Schizosaccharomyces pombe: one gene and its partner. The protein of the gene in region 1 interacts with the protein of each later gene in a pairwise test. Each region holds a gene or a part of one and is shown on either strand. Other genes may lie near its edges.

Evidence for each region. The genes of interacting proteins can lie anywhere in the genome.
Region 2: the proteins of prr1 (region 1) and mpr1 interact in a two-hybrid assay, tested with the Schizosaccharomyces pombe proteins (one study listed by BioGRID).

Annotation. Positions count from the first base shown.
Region 1 is NC_003424.3:3,664,301-3,669,610, reverse strand, and holds prr1 (stress-responsive DNA-binding transcription factor Prr1), read right to left. Parts: upstream 3,680-5,310; 5' UTR 3,605-3,679; coding exon 3,575-3,604; intron 3,478-3,574; coding exon 3,388-3,477; intron 2,632-3,387; coding exon 2,552-2,631; intron 2,499-2,551; coding exon 2,441-2,498; intron 2,298-2,440; coding exon 936-2,297; 3' UTR 524-935; downstream 1-523. Other genes in the region: translation initiation factor eIF2B epsilon subunit tif225, read left to right, coding at 1-306. UniProt on the Schizosaccharomyces pombe protein: Involved in oxidative stress. Transcription factor that acts upon trr1 and ctt1.
Region 2 is NC_003423.3:1,201,052-1,207,318, reverse strand, and holds mpr1 (histidine-containing response regulator phosphotransferase Mpr1), read right to left. Parts: upstream 4,268-6,267; 5' UTR 3,563-4,267; coding exon 2,675-3,562; 3' UTR 546-2,674; downstream 1-545. Other genes in the region: SPOM_SPBC725.03 (pyridoxamine 5'-phosphate oxidase), read right to left, coding at 1-279; aspartate aminotransferase Maa1, read right to left, coding at 5,345-6,267. UniProt on the Schizosaccharomyces pombe protein: Binds to the msc4 response regulator which is part of a multistep phosphorelay system that transmits oxidative stress signals to the spc1 MAPK cascade.

The DNA.
Region 1 (5,310 bases):
AAAGTAATGACACGTTGGGGTCCATTGCTTGCAAAACTGACATTTAGCCATGAAGAGCAAGTTGACAACGTATTAACGCTGCAGAAGTACTGTGTCCGTTTGAGTATGACTCGGCACTTTTTACAACTTTTGGGATATTTCTACCAATTAGAAATTGCTGAAGAGAATGCCATTCAAGAATGGTATTCTGATCCCCGCTCTAGCGAAGGAGAATTGGCTGCGCTTCGTGATGCCGGTGGCAAACAATTTGTCGACTGGTTGAATACTGCTGAAAGTGAAAGCGAGAGTGAAGAAGGGTCAGAATAATAGTTCCCTTACAAATCCTGAACTCTGACTTAAAACAGTGTTATGAAAGTGGTTTCTGTCTACTCAAAAAAAAAGGGTCACTCATAATTTAGCTGGCTATTATTTTCTAGCAAATAATAATACGATAGAGAAGAAAAATAAAATTTTGGTCTACAGGGCGCGTTGTTAAAATCCAGCACTATTCTGTTAATTACACGCATAGTTATTTACGATAATATCAGTTGGACGAATTCAATATTTTTAGCTGAAATGTAAGAAATACAACAAGCGAATGAAGATAATATAATTTGAGCAAACCGAAGAAAATAGTGGCTAAAATACAATGCAAAAACTGAAAAGTTATATTGATTATGTCTCTTCTGTACATGTTTCTAGTTGTAGTTGATATGAAAGACAATTCCGACACTGTTTGGAATTTGTGGAATTTAAACAACTAGTCATGGGATATGAAAAGCCTTTCTTCGAAAAGAAAGCCTTAACTTGAACCCCAAAGAGAACATAGATACATAGACCAAAGATTAAACCTTTAACTAAATCAAACAGAAGTGATAGATAGTTTTTTATATAAAACAAAAGTAAAAGAGACCTGATAGTAAAAATAAGAAATATATAACATTAAGACTTTTCCATCAATGTGGATGCTGTAAGTCTGCTTGAATGGGATCCTGTAACATCTGTTGAGGATACATAGGAGCATCATTCTCTAAGTAAAATGTCACAGGAGCCTTATCGTCTTTAGCTTCTTTCGTGGAGGGAACATCAGACATATTAATTGAGTTATCCGCTTGTAAAAGATTCAAAAGTTGCTTTTTTAAAAGTTGAAGTAGAGTCAACTTTGTAAATGGCTTAACTAATAGATCTGTTACACCATGATTAAAGTAGGTAACTGCATCATTCATCGATATATTTGAAGTTATAGCCAAAATCGGTGTGTTATGATCGTATTGACGAATTAAACAGGTTACAGACAGTCCATCCAAATTAGGAAGTATAAAGTCCATTAAGATGAGATCGAATCCACCAGCATTAGCTTTATTTACGGCACCAATTCCATCGACAGCTACATCGACCTGGCAATCAAATGAAGTTAAAAATTTGATAGTCATTCTACGAGAAAGTTCATCATCTTCGACAAGTAAAATCCTTGGTTGCCGCTTCCACAAGCCAGTAGTTGGAACAGCAGCGCCCATTTGAGACATGGACGTTGCTACTGAACTAGCTTTGGCAAGGGAATCGTTTGAAATTTGAGAAAATGACTTTGCCATGGAAGCATTGGAGTCAAGATGGGTGGTAAAGCTTCCTGGATTTGGATGCTGAATCGGTTGAAATTTTTCGTACATCGGATATGAGCCATGGGCGTGTGGATTCAAAGAATGGTCATTAGATGATAAAGGGGTATTTAGAGAGGCGGCAGAGGCCATGGAGTCTGCCGGCTTTTCCTGATTTGCCAGTTCATAATCAGATGAAGGAGTATTATACAAAGAAGGTTGTGCTGTGCCAAGATTGGTGTCAACAGTCATCTTTGAAGAAGCGGTAGTAGCAGCGGAAGCCTGTTGAATTTGATTTGGTATCTGTTGTGGAGAAGTAGTTGCAACTTGGCCCTTCGCTAACGCTTGGTATGCATTTAATAACTCCTGGAGAGGATGAGAGGGAACAAACATGGCTCCGGGATTAGCTTGCCGTTGAGTAGATCCCTCTAAATCGCAGAGGTAAGATATGATGCTACTCATAAGCAAATCTCTAGACTCAATCCCCCGCTTGAGTTCAAACATTTTAAGAAGTATCGTTTGGTAACTTGTGGCAAGACCCGAAAGATTTCTATCAAGTAATTTTTGAAAGTCTAATATAGAATCCACCTGCTGTTTTAGGTTTTCAATAACTGGAGCAGTGTTCTCGTTAGCTAAATTGCGCTTGGACGGAGCCTTTCGCTTAATATTGTCGAGCAGGTCCTTATGATGAAGCTGAAAGTCGTCATGACGAAACTCCCAAGCCTAAAGAAGAGAATGATTAGTATAATAGAAATTCTAAAAGGAGGGATGGCTTTTTTACAAGTATGATGGAATGAAGACAAGTTTGTTTCTCAAACCTATTCAACAAGTATGAAGCCCCTAAATCCTTAACCCATATGACATACCCCTTCACCATATATACTCGGCGCGCCTTCTTCGTGCCGTACTTTGTGAAAATCATATCTAGACGATTAGCAAGTGTAAAAAAAAAATAAATAAATAAAAATATCTCATACTTGTTGAGTTGTCGGACAAAACTTGCAAAGTTACTATGTTTGAAGTGGCGAGGCAGAATGGTCTTTGTAAACTCGTTGGTCTAAAAAGCAGTAAGTTAGTGATAAACTCAGGGAAACAAAGGGGAAAGGGGAAAAAGGAATTTTGAATGCGGAAAAGTAGATTAGAGTGACAAAGAAAGGAGAAAAATGCAAACGTAAGAGAAAAAAAAACATAAGACTAGAAGAATAGCTAGTCAAAAGCCAAAGTTTAAAAAGAAGGTAAGGCCTAAAAATAAAATTGGTCTCTAAGAGATGTAAAAACTATTACTCAAAAAAGATGATGACAAGGAATAAGTCTGTTCGAAAAAATCGAGATGCAATGCGAAAAAAAAGGACAAAGTACTAGGGTATGGAAACAAAGCAAATTCGACGACTCAGGTTTACGGGCAAACTGGACGTTTTTCAGCGTAACATTGGTAATACTAAAAAGAAAACAACGAATAGAATTGTTTTATTTCAAAAAGAAAAGCGATTTTTGTAATAAAACAACCCGATTGTTGCGATAGGAATCTCTTGCTGCCTCAAAAGATTCCTTTCCCATCATTGTCAATCCTTTTTAATTCAAGTTGTAATCAGAAAGAAAAAGGAAACAAATCAAGAATAGTAAAAAAATTATTTTTTAGCAAACCTTCAAAAAAAATCTCCCCTCTTTTACTAGCTTTTCGAGGATAAACAATAAAAGTAGAATGCTTTCTCTGGTTAAATAACAACAATGGCGGCGATAAATATAATGATAACTCATTCTTCCTTTCTTCTCTCTTTTACATCCAGCAAACAAATTTTCAAGGATTTCTTACATCCAACACAATAAAAGAATCCCCAGAATCGCTCCAGCGCAGGATATGCCTATATTCGGGTTCTTCCAACATGTTGAAGAGTTTTCGCACCTAATTCAACAACGTTAGTATGAGAAAACATAGTTTTATCACGAAACGTGAAATTTTATAATTATAAAAAATTCATCGGAAAAAGGAACCAACATACAAAGTCGGAGGATCCGTTCGAAGACGGCATCTTCTCGTTTAATATATGACCAAACGGTCGTATTTACAAAAAATCTTCACCTTTTCAACAATGTTGTTGGTTGTTGGAGAGTTGCAAATTTTGAGGTGTGGTGGATATGACACCCTCGAGGCTTCCATGTGGCTATTTGCCGATGCTCACAAGGGCGTGTTAGCTTACGCAACGTTGGTTAAACGATGAACGGCAGGAGATCGGCAATGCAAATTCGACATATTTTTTAACGTTAATTGCAGCAAAAACTTCTCAATTAATGAACCCTCAAAAACAATGCGAAACCCGCATATTACTGTCTTTTTCACTACCCTCCAGAAAAGGGATCTTTCGTACTGATCTCTCTCCTTTACGGTGCTTGATTTGACTTGATGATGCTGTTCACCGATTGCGAAACGTTGCAAAGTTAAATCTAGTATAGTGCATACCATCGTACTGCATTATCCCAAACTCTTCCTGAACCGGCTAAAGCGCGCGGGGCTCCCTAGGCAGTCATCATCGCAGACGTAACGACCGTCCCACATACGTTTGTGCAAGCGTGCTGTGGGCACAGCAAGAATAAACACATGGGATGGATGACACAGTAATAAGGCTGAGTTGCTGCGGTTCTTGGTAGTGTATCGATGGTGCATGCGTGGAGTATGTAGAGCAAAAGGATCACTATGCGATATTTCCTTGGTATAAACGCTGACACGGGATTTTTTAAAAAGCATTTTTTTTTCGATCGTTTACGTTTCCTTTATTTTTTTTATTGGAATCCACTGTGCAATATGCTCGTTGAACCATTCAGAAAAGAGATGCTCTTTATGCATTCAACACAATTGACCTTGCTATAAGAATATCCAGCAGACGCTCTTACTTTGAATGCTCAAGTGTGTGTGCTGCGGTCTACCTTTGTGTACAGTAGTTTCAACGTTAAAGGACAAGTGATTAGCTATGGGAGCTTATCGCATATTATAAAAATGCATTGGAATTTGGGAATACACACCCAACTTTGTGTACCCACTACACCTTGCAGTGGATGATGATTTTTTTGTCAACATCGTGTGATGCCGGACCAGACAAAACTTTTGACGCATACAGATCGACCAGCAAAAGCGGAAATTGCCTGTTAAAAAGCACCGAATGACAAAGTTTGAATAAACGACGCCAGGACATTGATGGACGAGTCCCTTTTTCTATGAAAAGGAAAGCGAAATAAACCGATTCCTCACTTGCTGATTGTACTCAATTAAACGAGGCTTTTACATTATCAACAAAGGGAAACAAAATAAGAATTGAGAAAGAAAAAGAAGTCCCCTGATTCATTAGAAATGACCCCTGATCCCTTGGCTCGGTTTTCGAACAAGAGAATAGATACATGTTATGCTTATTTGAAATGCTTCATAAGATTATATAAACGAAATAAATATTCTCATAGAATCCCATTATAAAGTATTCATCCTTAGAATACGTAGTTATTGGATTAGAAGACAATGTATTGATTCGTTAAATATCTTTTGCATCAAAAAATTTCTCCGCTCGTAAAATTATAAAAAAGATGGCGAGCGATACGATAAGTGCAGAGATAAGGGTATGACGCTATTAGTGCTGACTCAGCTCCGCGGTTTATTATTACACTGGCAATAGCAATAGCAATAGCAATAGCATTACATCCATGACAGATTTAACATAGCAAGGATAAGGGGTGCCCTAAAAGTAATTTA
Region 2 (6,267 bases), on another chromosome or scaffold:
GGGGAATGTATTTTTTTGCTGCTCAGCAATCTCAGCAGCTTTGTGAGAAGCAATATCCGTAGAGAATACCAATAAATCTGTAGCTAGCACATCATCGGGACGTGGTTTATGCCATCCTGTACCGACAAATCCTCGAATAGCTACAGTACGATTTCTGGGGTAAATTTCATTACCAGTGGGTAAAGTTGCCAGCTGGAAGTATTCGGGATGAATAACTCCACTGGAGTCGACATTTTCTTTTAAAAGCTTCAATAACTCATTTTTCCAAGCGAGGGACATGTTGGCAAACGATGAAATGGGATGCACGTATGAATCCTATATAAGTCACTTGTTTGACTGAAACGTCATTGACTTTGCTAAGTGTGTCGTACTAAAGGTCGCTCGCTATACAGAAATGATCTCTAGATATCTGTATAAGGCACAACTCTAAAGTTCGGCTAAACTTACTAACGAAATCGTGTGTGATTTCTGAAAAAGCAAATTGTACGTTATCGTGGATTACACTAATTTTTTAAAATATTCCTCTCTTCATCTGCTCAAGAGAATTGGTAAATAGTAAGAGTAAAATCATTTAATATTAGTGCACAGAGAAAGGAAAATAAGAAAATAAAGACAATAACTAGTAACTTAAAACAAAAAAATAAAACTTTTAACTAACAAAAATGGTTTCCCCTTCTAGATCTTCAAAGAACATTGCAATCCATATTCCGTTGTTCAGTACCTTAATCTGATTATTCACAGAACAATGAGCTGCCATCTAGTTTGCAAATTGATATAGAAAAGAGTATGCATTGTCTGTGTACAGGTTTCCAACATTGAAAAAGTGAGAAATGACAGCTTGCATATCCTAACAGATTTCTCTCACACCATTAGTGAGGATGCCTAGTCAATCAAAACCTGTACTTGATTTCAGCAAACTTCGTCCTCTTATCTTTAATTAACATAAGATTAGTCATCTAAAATTTCAACTTTGATACCGAAAAAAGCGGCCAACACCTTCTCGCATACCGGGGTTGAACATCGGAATGCCGAAATGCGATATCAATGAATACATTGTAACATCAGAGGATAAAAACAATGATAAAAATAATTTACAAATTAAATTGTCTCTGTCAGGCGTATCACTTGGATTATGACCATTTGCTTCACATTGCCTAGCAAACTAAGAAGGCAAGCGAGGTTTATGCCTAGTTTTTGCACATCTGTAGCTTCCGCATATTCAATTCATCCCGCATCATTCTAGAAAAACAAGGCGACGAAAAGCTGCACAACGGGTATGAAAATCCTAATAACGCTTCGCCTCCAAAGGAACGTCTATGAATCCGCAGGATCCTACTTGCCGCGCTAATTAACGAGGTATACTTGATTTCGCTGTTTCACACAAATCAATATTTCAATGTTCTCTTGTCTTTGCGGAATCGAACAAACTATACTTCGATTAACAAAAAAAAGAAGTTCGTTAATTTCATTTCATCGCAAACGTGTTTTCTTAGTTTTTATTCTCAAAAACGAACAATCTACAACGAAGAATTGTTTTCGATCTTTAACCCACAACAACAAAAACATTTAGTAAGTGACGCTAAAAGTCAGTTCGATCACACTTGAAAGTACACATATTAAACGCTGAATGAATCAAATCATAAATAATTATTGTATGTAATGACCATTTTAAGGTGTTTTCATTAATCCTTTAAATAATCTCTCTAAAGCGAGATAATGACAAAAGCAATCATAATTACAAAAAGCAAGAACAATATACTTAAAATTTTTGCAAGGTTTGTCAATCAATATTTGAAGTCCACCATAATTCACAACTCAGTAATGTACAAGGACGTGAAGGTTATCACCAAAATCATAAAAAATCCATCAACATCTCAAGTTGAATAATAAAAAAGGTAAACAAAGGAGAATCAGGTACATGTAATGATTAACATTAGGTTAAAGAAAATTTGAAAACACAGTTTAAAAACTTAGGAAAAACATAAAAAAACAACAACAAAGCAAATCAAACTCGAAAAAAAAAAAAATCTGTCGCCAATCGTGGGGATAAATGAGTGTTGAAGAGTAATTTGAATTAACCAAATTCAGCATCTTAAACGACCGGTTGTAAACATATTATCTAAGGTTTAAAGTCCTTCAACATTAGGGGATTGGGCTTGTGATAAACAATCACAATAGACAATTTCGTAAATAAACTAGATAAATAAAGGTATAAATACATGCCACGACCGTAAGAACGTAACAAACAAGAATTTTTTTTTTCGAGAAAGCAGCTTATTAAATACATAAAGTTTGATATCGAGAGCTTCAAAAATGTTCCGTAAAAAAAAACCGCAGGAAAACCCTGCCTGTTGCATATCTCAATATCAAAAAGGTAGACGAGGTAAAGCAAAAAATAGACTGTTTTTGATAGTTTTGGATAGGGGATACTCAACTAAATTGAGGACTTGTATTACTTCACTCTATTTGCTTTGATAGAGGGAAGCACTTCAAAGTACGGGAAAAGTGTGGGCGTCATAATAAATATAACTATTCAAACCGTAAAAGCTGGAAATTCATCACTAACTTCAAGTTATCGTAAATTTGGGAAAACTAGAAGACTTTGATAGACAACTGGTATAAATGTCATAAAAAGGGGGAAAGAAAGGCTAGGTACTTTGACATGTTGAGACTTTTATGTAGAAGAATTTTTTTCATAAAAGTCAAGTAAGTAAGCTCGAGCATCCTTATAAAAGTCGTTCACAACCGACAGAGATTTGCTAATCAAATCCAATGCAATTTCCTCGCTCGGTAATTTCATTACACCATCACGACTGCGTAGAGATCCGTAATTTTGGATACGTTCACAAACCTTTCTCATTTTTGTAAGGCCCAATACAGCTGAAGATCCTTTAAGGAAATGCCCCAACGAGGAAAGCTTCTTCAAATCCTTAGCCTCTAGGGCCTTTTGGAGGTCGGCAATGGTAGTCTCTGCCTGCTCAAAATAATTCCAAACAATACTCTTACTAAATTCATGCTCATCATCATCATCCATCTCAAGCAACTGGTCAAAAACGGAATGATCAATGAGCTGTTTGTCTTGGATGAGTTCATCCTCAAATGACATATCGTAAGCAATTACTGAAAGTTCATCCGACAAGACACCAGCCCCAACCAAAGCTTTGACTGAAGCAGCGGGAAGATTTTTGGCATTCGCATGGTCATCGCTAATAGAATTGGAGATGTCAACGGTCTCCTCCGTGCCTTCAGGTGCGCCAGCCGTCTCATTAGCAGCCAATTGTTGATTGTTTTCACTTTTGCTCGAAGATATACGTGACGTTAGAGCAACATAAGCAGGATTTGAGGTCAGTGGTAAAGAAGTGTCATTCGCTCCAGAACCATTCATAACCCGATAAGCATGGGGGATCGCTGACCCTGAAGGAGAGCGTGCACGTTCAGCTATGCCAGAATCGTGAAGAGTCTTAGCAAGACTAGCGTTACGCGCCTGTCCATTTCTTCGGGCGACACGATTTTCGAAGTTTCGGTCGTATTTCATATACATGTTATCACGATATACACTCATTTTTTAGAAAATAATTAAAAGAAAATCCAAAAAAAAAAGAAAAGGGTTTAAAGTAAGAGCGAATGGAGAAGCTCAGCTAAATTTTATCAGCAGTATTACTTTGCAAACAGTAAAATGTAGCAATCGATACAGAATATTGTATCAGATTTAAGACTTTCCTTTTTTAACAACGATTTGAAATTAAAGCGAGGAAATGTGAGTTATTGAAAGAGGCGTCGACAACACAAACAAATTATAAAAATAATGTGTGGTATGCCAGCAAAATGAAATAATCAACAGTTTCACTAACCTGTAGTACAGTACAAGGGCTATTACCAAAAGAAGAAAATGGCTTTACCACACAACCCACAAATACTAAATAGGATTTGTGGATAAATCTCCTTCAACAACGATTCTAATGGAAAAGAGTCAATACGGTTTTGGAGCTTTTTTTGCGTGTTCGAAACTTTGATGCCAAGTTTTAGACGCCACACAAACTTGCCTTCAGCTTCTGCTAAGTTCTAAAATTATCAAGCTCTACTAAAAAGGCGATATTATTGTTTTCGTATCAATTCAAAAGACAGAAAACCAATCCTCACAAGATTGTTAAGTGCTCTCTCTATAATTAAGTTCAAATGCAACAAGGGTAAGGCAGAGAGTAGAGACTATGGTTTTGCCTGTGCTTATGTCTGATTTTTAGATATTCTAATGTAGTAAATGGGAGACGGAAAGTAGGTAAATGCCGCGAAAGAATTGTTTGCAAAACTCACACTTGGGAGTGACGCCATGCAACGTAATAAAGCAGTCAAATGTACCGATACACAACCACCCAAAACGATAAAGTATATTAATATAATGACGCTACGTCTCACTATACCCCGAATTTCAATGATTCCTCCATATCAGTCAGTGTAGAAAAAAAAGACGAACTGGAGATGGAAGAACAGTTTCCCACCATCTTTGGCATTTTCGGCCATTTCCTAATAAGCGCAGCAATTCCTGATGGCTGTAGCATTGCACATTGGGAGGGAAGAATGATACTCTTTTTGCAGATATTTATTTCGATATCACTACATAGGGCCTATCCTAGTCATTGGAAAGGTGCCAATTTCCAGCGATATTCTCCTATTTTTAGAAATAATTAAAAGCTTTGCACAAATTTCATTCCTACCTCACTTATTTCGTACATCTCAGAAGTTTGATGAACTTGGGAAATCCCAACATATGACAAATGCAATGGGAAAGATAATTGATAGTTTTCCAACGAAAAAGTGGGATTTAATATGTATATGAGAGAGGATAGTAAAATGTGCCAAATTTTGGGTTAACTAGAGGCAATCTAAAGTATGAAGTAAGTGAACTACTAGACAAACATCTACAGAAACAAAGTATGGAAATAAATGAAGATAGACAAACGAAAAGCATACTATTTCGAAAACGAATCAATATTTAGTCAATTTTTAGATCCAAAATCCATTCATTTAAAAACAGACCATGCCATCTATTTGGAAGCAAAACTGTAGTTATTCACCTCAAAGCGAAAGTATAAGGAAAAAAAAATAAGCCGAGACAATTAGGTTACTAAATACGTCTTCTCATGGTTTCGGAGAAATGAAAAGGGAAAAAAAATTAAATGTATACAAATATATGTATATGTATATGTGTGTTTGAGTCTGTCTATATGTATGTATAATAAAATAAAAACAGAAAGAAGAACAAAAAAGATTCAGAACAAAGAATCAATCAAAAATCCATCTGTCTATATAATAAACCAAAATCTTTTCACTTCAATTTCACCACCGACTAATTCGAAGTAACGGCATTGATAGCTTCGGCAAAGTATCTTACATTGGAAGTGTTGAGACCGGAGATGCTAATACGACCATTCTTAGTGAGGTAAATGTGATACTGTTTAGCCAAAACATCAACTTGCTGGGGATTTAAACCAGTATAACAAAACATACCAATTTGGTCAGTGATATGCTTCCAGCTGTGTTTATTCTTAAGGTCCTTTTCAAGGATGTTGCGAAGAGCCTTACGCATACTCTTAAGACGTTCGGACATGCCTACAACTTCACCAGCCCACTGTTCACGAAGTGCAGGGTTGCTCAATATATGGTTGGCAATTCTGGCCCCATTGACGGGAGGGTTGGAATACAAAGCACGAATGAGAATCTTAGTTTGGCTTTCGATACGAGCGGCTTCCTCAGCATCGTTGGCTAAAATGCTAAAGCAGCCAGCACGTTCACCATATAGACCCATGTTTTTAGCAAAGGATTGGCAGAGTAACATGGGGACATTGCTGGAGGCGAACAGACGAGTGGCATAAGCATCACGAGCAAAATCACCACTGGCAAATCCTTGGTAAGCCATGTCTAAAAGAGCAAAATGGTTTTTCTTTTGCATTGTTTTGAGGATATCATCCCACTGAGCTTTCGTAGGATCTACACCAGTTGGATTGTGAGCACAAGCATGCAATAATATAATAGAGCCATCAGGAGCTGAAGTTAAATCGGACAACATGCCTTTAATGTCCAACCCACGAGTAGCAGGATCATAATACTTGTAGGACTTAACGGTCAAGCCAGCTCGAGAAAATACATTCTTGTGATTTCCCCAAGTAGGGTCAGATACGTAAATAGTCTTTGATGGATAAAATGAAGCAAGGAAATTAGCTGCTATACACAAGGCACCGGTACCACTAATGGATTGAGCAGAAACCAGCC